Oryctolagus cuniculus: one gene and its partners. The protein of the gene in region 1 binds, or shares a complex with, the protein of each later gene. Links are inferred from orthologs where the notes say so. Each region holds a gene or a part of one and is shown on either strand. Other genes may lie near its edges.

Region 1 (6,289 bases):
TGTAACTCTACCTGTCAAATAAATAAATAAAATCTTAAAAAAAAAAAAAAGATTGTGGGGAGCAACCGGACTAGACTGAGTTACTGGAATTAGGACTTATTCTATGCATCTGCTCTCCCACAATATGGCGCTGGGAGAGAAGTAAACAGCTTCTACGCAGCTGCCTCCAGTTCAACTAATAAACTGTAGGACTTGCTCCTGATTGGAGGAGAGCAGCGTACTCGGCGTGTGGGCAGCCGAGTTAGGATTGGCGGAGGAGGACTATAAAGGAGGAGAGAGACGGCATGCACCAGGAACATCTATGGGGAACATCTAGCTGAAGGAAAACCCGTGCAGCCCCCGAGAAAGCCGGCCGGCGGTGTGCCGCTCCCCTGCGGAAGTGGGGAATGTGGCCAGGGGGAACTGCCCTTCCACGGAGGTGGAAGGGATAGTAGCCAACCCAGGAAGAACCAGCAGCAAACCCGGGGAGGGCCGAGCAGATGAAAAGAACAGCACAGGGTCCTGTGTCGTTCCTCCACGAAGAGGGGGAGCGACATAATGGTGCCGTGACTCGGATATGAAGCCTAGGCAGGGTTTAGTGTCGCTCCTCCACGAAGAGGGGGAGCGACATGATGGTGCCGTGACTCGGATAGGAAACCTAGCTTGGATAGGAAACCTAGGACGGATAGGAAACTTAGGAGGGAAGAAACGGGAAGAACTGGGAAAATACCGGAGGAGAGACTAGTAAACAGCCTAGGGAAAAGCCGGACGAAAAGGGTGCCGGAAGAAGCTGTTGAAAGCCTAGGCATAGACTCAGATACGGACTACGGGGGGAAGCTGGGAGAAATCTCTAAGGTCGAAAGTGAAAGCTAGAACAAACAGACTCGGACGCGGACTGTGGGGAGAGGCCAGGAGAAATGAGGGAGGAATATCGTTGGAGGAAAGTTTGGGGAAACATACCGGGTAGAGAAAAATGTTAGGGAAATTGAAGCCGTGGGGGGCAGGCCAAGGCGGACACGAAAGCCACTTTGGGATTCTCAAGTTAGCCCGGGAATGGGGGGCGAAAAGTTGAAACCAGAAGCTGAAACGTAAGCCAGATTGGGATCCGTCTGATTAGCCCGGGGAGCAAAGGACGGGAAGCCAAATCGTGGGGCGGAGACGTATGCTGGGTTGAATTCGCCAGGCTAGCCCGGGGAACTTAGATTGAATGCTAGTGGCGGACACGTAAGCTACGCTGTGTTACTCGCGGAAGCCGCCGCGTGCAGAGAGAGCACGGGGCGTGAATAGATAGGGAACGGGGCTGGCGCGAGGCCGTGGTGCAGACGCAAAGGGCGTGGAGACCGCGGAGCGCGCGAAGCCAAGCCGCGCAAAGCCGGGAAGCTGCGCAGATGAAAGAGGCGCGGGCTGAAGCGGCTCAGCCGGGAAGCCGCCGAGAAGTAGCCTCGGGGCGGGCAGCGGGAAGCTGCGGGGATAAGAGAAACAGAAGTTTAGAAGCAAAGTGAGAGAAATAGGAATGCTGGAAGATAGAAGTAAAATGGGAGAAATAGGAATGCCCGGAGATAGAGAAATAGAGAAATAGAAAGGCCTCCCTACAACACTGCACTGTGAGAGCTTGGATTCGGTCTGCCTGATTAAGTGAGGCGATGAGCACGATGAGCACCTGCGGCGGCTAGCAGCTTATGCGCCGCAGGTCACCGAAGACAGGCACGAATTAACATCAGTAAGGCTTCCCCACAATACAACAATGAGAAAGCTTGGATTCGGTCTGCCTAATTAAGGCGGTAAGCACCAGCAAGCAGCTCGACCAGAGTATGAGCTGCAGGTCACCGAAGATAGGCACGAACCAACACTAATAAGTCTCCCCCACAATACGGCAATGAGAAGGCTTGGATTCGGTTTGCCTGATAGGGCTTGTAAGCCCCTGCAGGCTCGACCAGAGCATGCGCTGCAGGGCACCGAACACAGGCACGCATCAGCGCCTAAAAACCTCCTCACAACATGGCGAAGAGAGGACCCGGATTCGGTTTGCCTGATTGATAGGACTTGTAAGAGCCTGTGGCAACTCTAGCAAGTAGAGCAGAGTGTGTGCCGCGGGACACCGAAGACAGGCGCGTATCAACGCCAAAAAATAAAAAGAAAGGGGGATCTGTGGGGAGCAACCGGACTAGACTGAGTTACTGGAATTAGGACTTATTCTATGCATCTGCTCTCCCACAATATGGCGCTGGGAGAGAAGTAAACAGCTTCTACGCAGCTGCCTCCAGTTCAACTAATAAACTGTAGGACTTGCTCCTGATTGGAGGAGAGCAGCGTACTCGGCGTGTGGGCAGCCGAGTTAGGATTGGCGGAGGAGGACTATAAAGGAGGAGAGAGACGGCATGCACCAGGAACATCTATGGGGAACATCTAGCTGAAGGAAAACCCGTGCAGCCCCCGAGAAAGCCGGCCGGCGGTGTGCCGCTCCCCTGCGGAAGTGGGGAATGTGGCCAGGGGGAACTGCCCTTCCACGGAGGTGGAAGGGATAGTAGCCAACCCGGGAAGAACCAGCAGCAAACCCGGGGAGGGCCGAGCAGATGAAAAGAACAGCACAGGGTCCTGTGTCGTTCCTCCACGAAGAGGGGGAGCAACAAAGATGTTAAGTTTAGGGGCCAGCATTGAGGTACAGTGGGTTAAACTGTCACCTGTGATACCAGTATCCTGGCTGTTTCATTTCTGTTTTAGTTCCCTGCTAATGTGCTTGGAAAAGCAGCAGATCACCCAAGTGCTGGGGCCCTTGCCATCTACATGGGAGACCCAGATGGAGTTCCAGGCTCCTGGCTTCGGTAGCGCCGGGCCATTGCAGCCACTTGGAGGGTAACCAATAGATGGAAGATCTCTCAATCAATCTCTATCTTTCCCTTTCTCTCTGTAACAGCCTTTCAAATAAAAAAATAAATAGGGGCAGCATCAGACATTTGCTGTGTGATGTTTGCAGACCACCTTGCATTTACCTCTTATAGCATGGCTGTCTCTCCCCCCCCCCCCCACACACACACTGCAAGTTCTTGGTGGGCACAGATCTAATTTGTATTTATAGTCCTGCTCTGCATCATTTTTGGAGACCGTGTTCAATAATGGTGGAATGACTGGTTGAAAGTTTTAGATTTTTTTTTTCCCTAAATGAGCTAAGTCTCAGAACCCAAGCAAGTCTAGGATTTTTATTCCAATCTTTAACAAACTGCCAGAACTAAGAGATTCCCTGAACAGGTCCAAAGCAGAGGAGACAGGGGATCTGGGAAAAAGATAAAAATAATGCCGCACAAAAGTCACGATGCAAAAGTAATCAAGAACTTCACCAAGACACAGAGGGAAAGTCTAGAGGCGGATGCGACACCACCTCCAGTTGCCCCGACTGGCCGCTCGGCTCGCTCCGACTACAGCCACTCCCAAGATGCCGCGCGCCGCGAGCGGACGCGCCCAGCAGTCACCTCCCCACGTCAATCTCCACAAACAATGTGGTCTCCCGGAGCCGGCAGCCCGAGCCACCTGAACTCCCGAGTCTGAGCCCCAGCTCCCCTCCCGCCCGCGCCGCAGCTCTCCGGGCCTGCGTCTCCTCGTCAGTGACATGTAATGACGGTCTACCGTTGGCTGTGAGGAGACGTCGAGAGTAAAAGCGCTGTATGGAAGATGCGCGCGACTCTCCAACTTGTTACGCTTCTTAAGCTCGATGCTCACTAAGCAGCCCTGAGACTGATCTCTCAAAGTCATCCTGCCCCTCACTCCCTTCCCGCTCCGCGCCTGTGCTGAGGCCGCTCCCTCCTGTCGGCCCCCAAGCGGAAGGGGCCCGGCGCTGTCTGCCGTACCTGCAGCCACCTGGTCAGCGGGGCCCTCCTGCTGACCCATGACGAAGTCTTGCACGAGTCCCCACAGGGGGCCCGTAGGCGCCGCCGCCTCCTGGGGAGCGGCGGCGGCGGCCATGACGCTAACGAGCGACCGTGGGAGGGGAAGGAGGCGGAGGCGCGAGACAGGCTTGTCTGCGCACGCGCCCCCTGAGCCAATCGCTGGGTGGATGCCGCGGGGGCGGGGCGCTCCCTGGATCACGTGGCCGCCAGCTCTTGATCGGGCAGTTCCAGGGAGGGGAGGGTAGAGGAGGGGAGGGAAGGCCCCTCCCCGAGGGGTGGGGCCTGGGGCCGGGGCGGTGGCGCGGAGAGCGAAGGCGGCTCGCTGGGCACGCAGTCGGGGGCCATTGAGGGCGAATAATTCCCGGCCCGGCTCCCCGGGAGACGGGCTGCGGGGAGGACACCTGGTTGGGTGGGGCCGAGGGGCGGTACGCACCCTGGGGGAAGCCAATGAGAAAATCAGGCCCGGCCCAAGGGGGCGGTGCCGTCGGTCACATGCGCACCTGGGGCGGGTGGCGGCGGCGGCGCGGGCACCGCGAGCCGGCGGAAGGGAGTGGGGCCGGGCTGGGGCGGGGTTAGGCAGGTGAGTGACAGGCTGCGGGGGGCCGGCCCCAGCTGGGAGCCCCAAGCGAGCCGGGAGTAGCTGCGGCGGTGCCCGCCCCCTCTCTCCGCCCCTTCAGCGGGGCTGGTCTCCGGCCGGGCACCGTCGCGGGCCCCCCTGGCCCGGCCACCTGGGACTGAGCAGGGGAGTCGGCCACCTCCCTCCCTCCCTCCCCGGGTCCGCAAAGTTTGTGGCGAGGCCGGCGCCGGGGCAGAGCGCGCCCCCCCGGGGGGAGATCCGGAGCGTCAGATGCCGGGCGGCAGGAGCCGTTGACCCGGGACGCCGCCGTCCGGGGCAGGGGCGCGGAGCAGCCGACCACCCCGCCGCCTCCGGTGCATGGGGACCGGCTGAGGAGCCAGCATGGGCAACTGCGTGGGGAGACAGCGCGGGGAGAGGCCAGCCGCCCCAGGACACCCCCGCAAGCGAGCAGGTAACCACGGGGAACGAGCAGGGCCACGGGCACCTCGCCGGTCGGCCCCTGCTCGCCGGGGCCCTGGGCTCCCGGCGCGACCTCCCACGGCCCCTGGCGCCTGGGCTCTCCCAGCGCAGCTCCGAGCCTGACGAGGCCGGGGACGCCGACCGGGCTGCGAGACCAACTCGCTCCAACTGGGAAGCTCCGGGTGGCCGGTGGGGGCGGGGGCAGGAAATGTTCGCAGACCGCAGCGGGGCCGCCGCGGGGAGGAGGGCCGGGGGCGAGGGCGCCGGCGGCCTGGCAGCCCGGGCCGGGGTCGGACGCCTGCCCGTCGGGGCGCGGCGCGAACTGCCGGGCGGCCCCACGACTCGGCACGGTCGGTCGCTCCTTCCCGAGACTGACTGTGTCATTCTCGGGCTGCGGATCGCGTCTGCCGGAATCCGACTTGCAAAAGCAGCGCAGGACTCTGGGAAAGAAATCTTTATTTTTTTTCCCCCCGCAGGGCTTTTTAGAGCCTCCTGGCCGTCTGGGAGTTGTGGCGAGGTGGGGTGCGGAGCGAGAGGCGCCCTCGGGTTTGCGGGGCTCCGCGCCAGCGCTGGGAGGGGGCCGCGCCCTCTGGGGATCCGCGGGACCGGCCGCGCCGTCTCACTCTCGCCGTGCGCCCCTTCAGTCCTGGCGCTCGGCCCCTCGGAGAGGGCCGGCGGTCATTCTGGGTCTCACTTCCTTCTCCGAGGGTGTTGCAAGGACCTTCTGAGAATGATAAAATCATAGACTGTAGTGCTCGGAGGAGCGCCGAAACTTGTCTGGGTTCCAGACAGATCCGCCTCCTCCGCTCTGAGTAAAAGGCTGGGTCCCGAAAGGCTGGCGGGTTTGTCCAAAGTCACACAGCGAGTGAGCCGTGCGAGTGGGGCTGGCGGCCAGCGTGCTCCTCCTGCCCGTTGCCACATAGCCCTTGGTGGAAGGGGAGCCGGACGCAGAGTTGTGAATGAAGTGGGAACTTCAGTTTCCCACCTGCTCCGACGCGGAAGCCGGGAAGGAGGATGGGAAACCGTCGGGGAGGCAGGGAAGGATGTCTGTGCGGTGCACAGGATGGCTTGTGGCGGAAGAGACGTGTTTTCATAGGATGGAGGGGTGAGACTTAACTCCGAAACCCCGGTGTCGGAGGGCAGCCCGGGCCATTCTTCTGACTGAGGAAAGTGGATGGGCAACTCAAGGGCTTCCTGCCTTCCTTCCGTTCTTTCATTCATCCCACAAATATTTGTTATTTTTGCAGTGAGCCCTGGTAACTGATTTTGTAGCATTTTCCTCTGTTGACACCTGCCTTTACTTGAAACTCTGCCCCCTTGCCTTCTTGGTTTTCCTGTCTGGTCACTCCTGCCCACTGGCGCTGCCACCTCAGAGGAGCGGGACTCCTGCGGT
Region 2 (4,134 bases), on another chromosome or scaffold:
TCTGTCTGGAAAAAAAAATTTTCCTTTAACATTGGTTGAACTTATTTTTAAGATTTTATCTGGGGTCAGCGCTGTACCACAGTGGGTTAAGCTGCCATCTGAAGTGCCAGCATCCCATATAGGGGCCAGTTCAAGTCCTGGTTGCTCCACTTCCCATCTAGCTATCTGCTGTGGCCTAGGAAAACAGGAGAAGATAGCCCATGTCCTTGGGCCCCTGCACCCACGAGGCTCAGAGGAAGCTCCTGGCCGGCCCAGCAAAGGCCATTGTGGGCATTTGGGGAGTGAACCATCAGATGGAAGACTTCTCTAGCTCTTTCTGCCTCTGCCTCTAACTCTGTAGATCAGGGCCAGCGTTGTAGCACAGTAGGTCAAGCTTTAGCCTGCAAGCCGGCATCCATGTGAACTCCAGTTCAAGTTCTGGCTGCTTCACTTCCAATGCAGCTCCCTGCTAATGCGCCTGGGAAAGCAGTAGATGGCCCATGTGCTTGGGCCCCTGCATCCAGGTAGGAGACCTGGAACAAGCTTCTGGCCCTTGGTTGCAGCCTGGCCCAGCTCCAGTCATTGCAGTCATTTGGGGAGTGAACAGAGAAAGGAAGACCTTTCTTTCTGTCTCTCCCTCTTGAACAAATGAATAAATCTTAAAAAACAAACAAAACCAAAAACTGGGCCTCAAACCACCGCTCGTATGTGATGCCAGTGTTGCGGGCGGTAGCCTGACCTGCTGTGCCACAATGCTGGCCCCTAGTAGAATGTCTTAAATACAGAAATTTACCCAGAAACTGGGAAGGCAGAACCTATTTCAGACAAGGAATTACCACAGAACTTTTTTTTAAGATTTATTTATTTATTTATTTGAAAGAGTTAGGCAGAGAGACAGAGAGGTCTTCTATCTGCTGGTTCACTCACCAATTGGCCGTAACGGCCAGAGGTGAACTGATCTGAAGCCAGGAGCTTCTTTTTTTTTTGACAGGCAGAGTTAGACAGTGAGAGAGACAGACAGAAAGGTCTTCCTTCCACTGGTTCACCCCCAAATGGCCGCTAAGGCCGGCGTGCTGCACCGATTCAAAGCCAGGAGCCAGGTGCTTCCTCCTGGTCTCCCAAGCACTTGGGCCATCCTCCACTACCTTCCCGGGCCACAGCGGAGAGCTGGACTGGAAGAAGAGCAACCAGGACAGAATCCAGTGCACCGACCAGGACTAGAACCCGGTGTGCCAGCACCACAGGTGGAGGATTAGCCTAGTGAGTCACGGTGCTGGCGTCAGGAGCTTCTTGTAGGTCTTCCCCACGGGTGCAGGGGCCCAAGGACTTGGACCATCTTCCACTGCTTTCCCAGGCCATAGCCGAGAGCTGGATCGGAAGCAGAGCAGCCGGGTCTCGAACCGGCGCCCATATGGGATGTCAGCACTGCAAGTGGTGGCTTTACCTGCTCTGCCACAGTGCCAGCCACTACCACGGAATTTTTTAAATTGTGACTGTTCTTATAAAATAAGACTTTGGACTCAAATGTATTATTTTTGTAAAGTTTACAGTTTTGGAAAGGTCTGAGACACACTCTCCCTTCTACATATATATGAGGGAACTTCAAAAAGTTCATGGAAAATGGAATTAAAAGATGTTTATTTTGGTGCAAAAATTTTTTTGAAACCCATGATCTTTTCACAATATACAATCTCTGGGAACTTTCTGACATACCCTTGTATACACACACACACACAAACAGTACACTCCCCACCCACCCAAATTTAACACTGTCCCAAAGCAAGCAAACTCTGAGTTAACAAAAATGGACTGGCATTCTGTAGCTCTTTACTGAGGGCCTCGTGTCAAAGGAGGGGAAAAGCCAGCCACCCTGTGGCTCCATGCCTCTTTTTGAGTCTGCAGAGAAGCCAGCCAAGTTGAATCAAGGTCAAGGATGCTCCTCCAGGCCCTCCTGGGACTGGCAAAGTCTCAGCACACTTTCTCAGGAACTGTGATGCCGAAGTCAAGGCAGCTCAGAGGCCTTCAGGCTGCTGGTACTTCCAGAAGGCCACCTCCCCATCATCACTGCAGGAAGCCAGGAGCCCCCGCTCCTTGGGGTTCCAGGCCACGCAGTTGACATCCTGGGAATGGGCCTGGCGCAAATGGGCCGTCAGGGAGAAGGTGGGCTGCTGCGGGTCCGAGCTGGGATCCTCCTCAAACACTCGGATGGCATCGTCCCCACAAGCTGTAGCCAGGGCCCCGGTCAGCTGACACCTGGGAGAAATGTGCCATCAGGAGGTGTGCAGACTGCTCTTCCCTCCCCAGTCTGGCAAACTGGGCGAGAGAGAGATCTGTTCTACAGTCCCTGCCTGTTCTCTTCCCAGCTGCAGGCCTCAGCTCAGTCTTACCGGGGAGTGTCCCAAAGACAGAGCCACGAGCAGCACCTCCCTCGGTCTGCAGATGCCTCCATACGCCTTCCAGTTATAACTAACCTAAAAACCCCAAGCAGCTCTGAAGAGCACACTTCTCATTGAGCATAAGTGGTTTCCCATGCTTTGAAGTCTTTTTTAACTGATAGAACAGGCTACTGAGTTTTACCATTATTTGCTTAAGTCCACTTTTTTTGCAACATACTCGTATGCGTTACTCCAAACTGTTTGCTAATACTAATTATGCTTGGACGCCTATGAACTTTTTCCTTTGTTTAGCATTAATTCTTAGGCCTCCCTCTCAGGGCCAGAACTGTCTTCTGCCTAACTCTCCCTCTGTGTTTCCAAACCGTAACAACCCCAACCACCGATCCACAGATTCAGTCCTGCTCTCTGGACGGACTGGCACTGCGTGAATCCCGGGGCTGGTGCTGCCCTCAGAGCCTGCGCTCCTAACCAGGGCTCCTGGGTCTAAGGCTGAGTCCTGCCCCTGGGACTCGCAGGCCGGCCGGCTCTAGCATGGTGGACAGGGGGCCTCATCTACAGAAACAGGGCGGCTCTTCTCTTGTGCCCCGCTGGTAGCAGGACAGAGGGTCACGATGTCTCTCAAATCCCTGCTTTACCAGGAGTGGGGTGGGGATGGAGGTCTTACCAGGCAATGTCGTAAATGGCCCTGGAGTGGAAGCCAGACAAAGTGCAGACACACTTCCAGCTGGGGGCAGAGCCGCTGCACACCAGCCCTGCAAGACAGACCGGTTCTGAGCCCGAGGCCTCGGCGGAGGAGCTGCGCACCGCAGACTTCAGGCCATCCTGAGTCGCCGTGCCCATCCCTGTCGCCATCCTCACCGACCCGCAGCACACACTGTGGCCACACGGGTCCTCCTGGAGCAGAACTCCAAGAAGGAAATACTCCCGTCCTGCCGCAGACTATCGCGTACCCACCTAGCAGCTTGCCTTCGAAGGCCACGCAACCAGCTGAGCCAACCCACCCGACTCCTCCTCAAATCCTTCCCATCCTATGACCCCTTGTTCACGCAGCTTTCCCCAGCTCCTCTGAGTGTTCTATCTGGAGCCCTCTCCTGGCACACGCTCCTTTTACTCCAACGTGCCACCATCAGGCATGTGTCCCAGCAGACCACACGCCTCTCGTGTCTCCTGTAGCTCCGCTACTGGACCCGCACCTTGTTCATTGCCTGGTAGATACTGGCGCCAGATGCGCACAGTTCGGTCATCACTGCAGGACGCCAGGCGCTGGCCGCTGGGGTCAAAGGCCAAGCTCCACACAGTAGACTCATGGCCCTCCAGGGTGGCGCAGCACACCCAGTCATCCTCTTCCTCCCGGTAGAGCTTCACTGTGTCGTCGTAGCTGGCAGAGGCTAACAGCTGGGGGGAAGGAGGGGAGAGACCCAGCACTCGCCTGTGTGGCCCAGGAAGTGCCTGTGTGCCGGGTAGCACAGTCCCAGGGCTCAGACCAGGGTCTTCTGGTCACAGAGACCCCGTACTGACAGCCTGAGGCTGAGGAGCAGAAAAAGGCTGGGCGCCCACCTTCTCCCCAGGGTCCCCGCCCACCAGGAGCCCATGCTGGGCAACGGTTACCTCCTGACTTGGGTGCCAAACCACGTGCTTGACATCCTGTGTATGGGAGTTGAGGACACTGACACATTCATACTCATCCTCTTCGTCCACTGTGGGAGACAAAAGGAAGGGAAGCCGGAAGCCCACCGTGGAACGGCTGTCAGCTGGGTCC
Region 3 (6,366 bases), on another chromosome or scaffold:
TGCCCCCAAGGGTGCGAACTCACGGCCGCCGCGGCGCCGGTGAAAATGTCCTCCCCCTCGGTGTCGCTGTCCCCGGCCTCGGGTTCTGACCCCCCGGCGGCCCCTTCGGACTCCGACTCCAGGCCCGGGAAGGGTGGAGGGAGTCTCTCCGATGCGCTACAGCCGCCACCACCCGTCGCCATCTTCCTCCACCCGCGGCGGAAGCCGCAACAACAACTTTATAGAGAGATAGCGCCGCGAGCAAAGCGTTCCTGGGGGTACTGGGAGCTTGAGGGCCGCGGCGGACCCTGCGGGCCCGGCGGCGCGGGGGCGTGGGGGCGGGGCCCAGGGGCCGGGGGCGGGGCGAGCCGGGCCGTCGCCCGCCGCCCGCGAATCGGAGCCCTGCGCCGCGGCCCCGCGAGCTCCCCGGGGCGGGCCGAGGGGCAGAGAGGAGCAGTCAGGGGCTGCTCAGGTTCTCCGTGTTCCCTGCGATTGCTTTGTCTAACCGGCTTCTGAAGATTTCGGTTGAATAAAGGAGCCTTTAGTCTGTGACTAAAAATGTTTGAAAGCCTCTACATGCCACCTTTCCAGGCCAAGCACAGTTCCCCTCTCCAGAGATTCAAGAAATATTTTTGACTGAGGTCTCTGAACAGACAGCGGGAAAGTTTGACCACTTGTTCTTTGAACTACAGGGCGTTCATCCAAGAAATATGTACTGAGCATCTACCGTGTGCCTGGCAGCTTGCTGTGCGTTTGAGGTACAGAAATAAACAAGCTCCTGGCCCACCTACGGAGGTGCTTACAACCCATGAGACACAGACAGCCATGCAAATCAACAGTTCCACACGCTCAGCGCCCCAGCACGGTGAACAAGACCTCCAGTTCTGCTTGGGGAAGCGCGGAGGGTGAGCAAACCCCACCGAACTAGATTTGGTCGGGAAGAAGTGAGGCTTGTCTTCACTGCTGTGGAGTGAGCGGAGTGGAACAGATGGCAGGGGCGGTATCAACTGCTCAAACATTTTTTTCTAGGGTTTAAACTACTCAAGGACTGGTGAGTCTAAAGTCTAAATCAGGAGGCGGCTTTATGGCTCAGCGGGTACAGCTGCTCCTGCGATGCCGCTTATTATCCCATGTGGACACGGTCGGAGCTCGGGCTGTTCCGTTTCCCATCCAGCTCCCTGCTAACGTGTCTGGGAAAGCAGTGCAGGACGGCCCAAGTGCTTGGGCCGCTGCACCCATGTGCAAGACCTGGATGGAGTGCCAGGCTCCTGGCTTCGGCCTGGCACAGCCTGGCTGTTTTACTCCTGGCTTCGGCCTGGCCCAGCCCTGGCTGTGGTGGCCACTGGGGAGTGAACCAGCGGATCAAAGAGCTCCCCTCTTTCTGTAACTCAGCCTTTCAAATAAACAAATCTTATTTTAAAAAGCCTAAATCAACCAGATAAACAAGACAGGCATCTTAAAGACACATGGGGTATGTTAAAAGGGATAGTGCTGTAAGATAATCTGACTTTCTTCTCAACAGAGATGAAATTTATCACGAACTGACAAAAGGTTTACTTTGTTCCTAATGCAAATTCTTCAGCGTCAGAGGCTGGCTCCCTCACAGGGCTGCGAGAGGCTTCAGGGCAGGGGCCCTGTCCTATCTCGGCACCTACAGATCGCATCTGGCAAATTAAGTACCCAATTCATAGCTGAGATTTAACTGGAGGACGAGACGGATAAAATAACATCATCAACTATGTTAACGGCATCCATGACAACACGTACACCAGATGGCTTGAGACGTCCTTTTTAGCATAGCGAACTCCATTCTGTCACCGTGGGTGCAGGGAAAGTCCTCTTAGCTCTAAGTCGTCTTTGGAGGCGATTGGCAGAAATATTCAGCCCACAGTGATGAGCTGGGCTGGACTGAGTCCCTAGGAGGCGAGAAAACCAGAGATCCACCATGCCTAACTGTCCTTACTGGCCTCCCCGACATCCCATTTCACCGCAACCGGAAACCCGCTTCTGGCCTGATTAGGAAGAGACTGACTGGAAGCAGCTCCCTCCGAGAAGTAACTGTAAATAGTCTCCGTACTAGAAACCAAACTCTCCTTTCCTCTACCTCTTCAGGATTCATCTTTAGCTTTCTGTGGGCACTGATCAGGCGGTGGGTGACAGACCGTTACACGCCCACTCGGAGGAGGAAACTCCAAATCCCAGAATACTGTTCGCCGTATTCCGAGGAAAACATCCCATACATCCTAGCGCGCATAGCGCCAGCTGGGTCGCGCGGATTGTTTTTTTTTTCTTGCTGCGCTGAAGCCAAGCAAAGCATGCTGGGGTTTGTAGTCCTTGCGGCTCCCTTCCCTAGGTCTTTCGCGCTACTCCGTCGGGCCCCGCCTCTTCTCTGCTCCTTTGACCCTTTCTTTAGACTAGTGTTGGCTCTTTTGAAGACCAGGAAGTTGCTAAATCCCGACACCGGCAGCTGAGAGACGGTGGCTCGGGTGGGACAGTCGCCAGGGATGGCGGAGCGTGAGAATGGAGCGGGTGTCCGGGCTGTTCTCCTGGACGCTGAACAGAGTCCTGTGGCTCTCAGGCCTCTCTGAGCGGGGAGCTGCCCGGCAGCCCCGGATCATGGAAGAGAAAGCGCTAGAGGTTTATGGTAATTAACTTTACGCAGTGCAGCATTTGGTGGTATATGTAGGCGCGGGGGCGGAGGACGGGCTGGGGTGGGGGAGAAGGGCTGCCTGAGGGTGTGGGAGTAAGACTGGGGTTTTCGCTGGATCTCGTCGCTAGCGAAGAAAGCGTTTTCTTCGGGGGGTGGTGGTGGTGGTGGTGGTGGTCCTAAGTCACGCGAGAGTGCGGGTTCGTCCAGGACCCCGGCTCTTCCTAAACCCCTGGCAAGCTGAGCGTGGAGGCCTTCAACGTCTCACCCCCTTAACCTGCCCCGCGCCCTCGTGGCCGTCCCGAGACTCGTGGGCAGAGCGGAAGCGTACGGTGCTTGGCCTGCGGGCAGAGCTGGCCTGGGCTCCTACTGCCTGATCCTCCTTGCTTCTCTAGCTCCCGCACGCGTACTCCGCTTCCCACTACTGCTGGGCGATGGCCGAGCTGGGTACGGCCCCAAGGTCACAGCCACTGTCTTCTGGGGCAGTCAGTAGGCAGAGTAGGGCGACTCGCATAGCGAGGCCTCGAACTTAAGAGTTCCTCAGCACAGCCATGCCGAAGTGCGAAACACACACACACACACACACACACACACACACGGTGGGGTGCCTCATGGAAAGTGAGCCCTGTGTTTTAATTCCGTTTTCCACCAATTTGAAGTACCCTCATGTGTGCACACACACAGTGTTTTTTCTCTACAGTAAGTATTCCCCAACCTGTGGGACCATCTGCATTGTGCAGATATGGAAGCAACAACCTGGAGCCTGGAGCCCACACCAAAGGCCGCGTCTTCTGATCCCAAACTGACTGCACTTTTCACCATCTCACAGCTGCTTAGGACTCTTTTTCTTGGAAAAAAAAATTTTTTTAACTAAATAGAATTGATGCACTGTTGAAAGAGCTGGCAGTAAGAATACCAATATAATCTGGGTGAGGATTACAGGCCAGAAGGAAGTGGGGGGTGAGAAAGACCTCTGGGGTTGGTCTAAATGCTCTGTCTTGCTAGAGGCAGGACTCACTTAACCTGGCCAGATGGTTAAGGTGTGTCGTAGACTCATTCCTGTCCTGCCATACTCTATGGCATCCTGGGATGCAGGGCACTGGGGACACAGCTTTGAAGAGCGCTGCTTCTAGTCCTTAAGCTTACATTGAGGAAAGCTTATCTTTGCAAAAACACAGTATATGATAGACGGGCATAGACTTGAAGACGTAGTACCGAAATTCAAAGGACAGATCCTCATTTCTAGGGGAGGGGAGGGGAATCTGGGAAAACTTGGAAGCGGAGTCATTTGCATTGGCCTTGGAGAATAATTGGGATCTGGATATGTAGGGGGTGAGAACGCATACTAAGCAGAGGAAGCTGGAGCAAAAGTGTGGAGCTGGGGCGCTAAGGGGATGACAGGTGTGCGGGGCTACAGGCTGTGGCTGAAGATGGAGGTGAGGTTGATGATAGGTTTGAATTGGATACCCAAGATTTTAAATTTAAATGAAGCCAGAGAAAAATTTTAGTCAGAGGAGTAATGTGGAGAGCAGCATTGTTTTGTTTTTGAAGAAATCCATCCACGCCTCTGAAACTGCTAGAAAACTTGAGAAGTTTAGTCAGGGGGTGAGCTTTAAAGAACACAGTCCAGTGAGTTTAAATGAGCCTTGGCTGGACCCAAGCCTAGGAGAGGCGGAGAATTCCTTGTCAAAAAATCCCATCTCTTTGAGTCCCATAGTAACACAGCTCTAGGAAAGAGAAGTTAAATCTGCTTCCCCGTGTTCAAATCCTGCTTCTAATCAAGTGGTAAGCCTTGGAGATACCTGGGGAGAAAGTAGGAGATTGGTCTGTGTTTCTCAACCGCATCTGTGTTTGCAAGGGAGCCCTGAATAGTAGAAGGGAGCCTCAGGCTTGAGGACCTCACGCCCACCATGTGGACGGGGCTGCCGCTGTCTGCCTCGCTGTTCCTCTTTATCAGTTCTCCTCTTCTGTTACAGCCTCCTGGTAAGAAGGAAGACTTGCCTCTCCCAGGGCAGCCCCGGTCCCCGCCTTCGTGACCCCATCATCTTCTGCTTATTTGGCCAGCTTCCCCTCCTCCCCTCTTTATGTTTTCTGTCTTTCCCTCCCTGTTTAATCTTTCCTTTGGGGCTTTAAAACATACTCAGGTTTCCCTAACTCTCGTCATTGTTCTAGCTTCCTTGCTAAGCTGCTGTCCTTTCTCTGCCCTTCCCTTCCCAACCAAGGCCCTAGGAATACACTTTCAGTCCTGGCTCGCTTTCCCCTTTGCGGGCTGGCCTGGGCCCTTGCGTCACTAGCAGAACTTCTTTCCTCCAGATGGCCTCCTGGCTGACAGGTCGAAGACTTGCCTCAGCTCTCGGCGGCCTCAGTGCTCTGGCAGCATCTGATGCTGCAGCCGCCTCTCTCCCTCTCTGCTTCTTCTTTCTTTACTTTCTCATTCTGACCCTTAAGTTTTGTGCTTCCCGTGAGTCTTTCCTTGGGTCTCTTTCTCTTTACACCAATGATTCCTCAAACTGGGCTGCACATAAGAATTACCTGAGGAATTTTTTTTCTTACTAAAGATTGATTTATTTATTTGAAAGGCAGAATTAGAGAGAGAGAGGGAGAGACAGAGAGAGAGGAGATCTTCCATCCGCTGGTTCACTTCCACAAATGGCCACAATGACCAGAGCTGGGCCAATCTGAAGTCAAGAGCTAGGAGCTTCTTCTGGGTCTCCCACATGGGCCCAAGCACTTGGGCCAACTTCTGCTGCTTTCCCAGGCACATTAGCATGTAGCTGGACCAAAAGTGGAGCAGCCAAGACTCGAACTGGTACCTATATGGGATGCCAGCACTGCCGGCCATGGCTTAACCTGCTGTACCACAGTTCTGGCCCCAGCTTGAGGAATTTTTTTAAAAAAAATCTTTGTTTATTTTCATCACTTGAAACGTAGAGCAAGAGAGAGTGACAGAAAGAGAGAGAGACCTTCCACCCCCTGGCTCACTCTCAAAATGATGGCAACAATTAGGGAGGGCTAGGCCAGGCTGAAGCCAGGAGCCAGGGACTCCATCTGGGTCTCCCACATGGGTGGCAGAGACGCTAGCACTGGAGCCGTCATCTGCTGCTTCCCAGGGTGTGTCAGCAGGAAGCCATATTGGAAGTGGAGGTGCCAGGACGTGAACCCACGCTCTGATAGGAGATGTGGTTGTCCCCAAGCAGTGGCTTAACTCCCTGTGCCACAACAACCACACCAACCTGAGGCATTTTTTAAACTCTTAATGCTCAGGCCATACTCCAAACCAGTTAAATCAGAATCTCTGGGAATAGGGTCCAGGTATCAGTTTTTTGTTTTAAAACATTCCTGATAATTCCAGTGTTCAGCCAAGGTCCTACTCATTTTTTGTGAAACGTATGGGTTCAACAACCGCCCTAGCCTCTGTGTGCTCTTAAAACCCTAAGGTACGGTTGAACATTTGCTGGAAAATTCCATGAGATTGCCCCTGAAGCACCTCAAAAACACTGTGTATGAAACTGAACTCATTTACCCAGGACCCTCTGTATTTCTTCCTTGTCCTTAGACTAAAATATGACTCGTCTTCCTTTTCCTTGTCGTCTACAGCCAAATGATGGTCAAATTCTGTTGATTCTGCCTCTGAAATGACTTCCTCATCTGTCTCTGTTACGTTGTCACGTGCTGCCTATTTTAGGCCCAGCTTTTTCGGCTGGTATCACTGGCTCTGTTCTTTATTTCTGAATCTAGCA

The links.
Region 2: MMS19 (region 1) and CIAO1 share a complex: the UniProt entries of both Homo sapiens proteins name them as parts of the MMXD complex. The link is inferred for Oryctolagus cuniculus from reciprocal best matches to the Homo sapiens genes MMS19 and CIAO1.
Region 3: MMS19 (region 1) and CIAO2A share a complex: the UniProt entries of both Homo sapiens proteins name them as parts of the CIA complex. The link is inferred for Oryctolagus cuniculus from reciprocal best matches to the Homo sapiens genes MMS19 and CIAO2A.

What each region holds. Positions count from the first base shown.
Region 1 is NC_091446.1:32,353,388-32,359,676, reverse strand, and holds the start of MMS19 (MMS19 nucleotide excision repair protein homolog), read right to left. Parts: upstream 3,998-6,289; 5' UTR 3,937-3,997; coding exon 3,822-3,936; intron 1-3,821. Other genes in the region: UBTD1 (ubiquitin domain-containing protein 1), read left to right, coding at 4,819-4,888. UniProt on the Homo sapiens protein: Key component of the cytosolic iron-sulfur protein assembly (CIA) complex, a multiprotein complex that mediates the incorporation of iron-sulfur cluster into apoproteins specifically involved in DNA metabolism and genomic integrity.
Region 2 is NC_091433.1:111,311,532-111,315,665, forward strand, and holds the end of CIAO1 (probable cytosolic iron-sulfur protein assembly protein CIAO1), read right to left. Parts: intron 4,073-4,134; coding exon 3,984-4,072; intron 3,771-3,983; coding exon 3,569-3,770; intron 3,128-3,568; coding exon 3,040-3,127; intron 2,233-3,039; coding exon 1,992-2,232; 3' UTR 1,601-1,991; downstream 1-1,600. UniProt on the Homo sapiens protein: Key component of the cytosolic iron-sulfur protein assembly (CIA) complex, a multiprotein complex that mediates the incorporation of iron-sulfur cluster into extramitochondrial Fe/S proteins.
Region 3 is NC_091443.1:87,152,786-87,159,151, reverse strand, and holds the start of CIAO2A (cytosolic iron-sulfur assembly component 2A), read left to right. Parts: upstream 1-2,271; 5' UTR 2,272-2,499; coding exon 2,500-2,623; intron 2,624-6,366. UniProt on the Homo sapiens protein: Component of the cytosolic iron-sulfur protein assembly (CIA) complex, a multiprotein complex that mediates the incorporation of iron-sulfur cluster into extramitochondrial Fe/S proteins.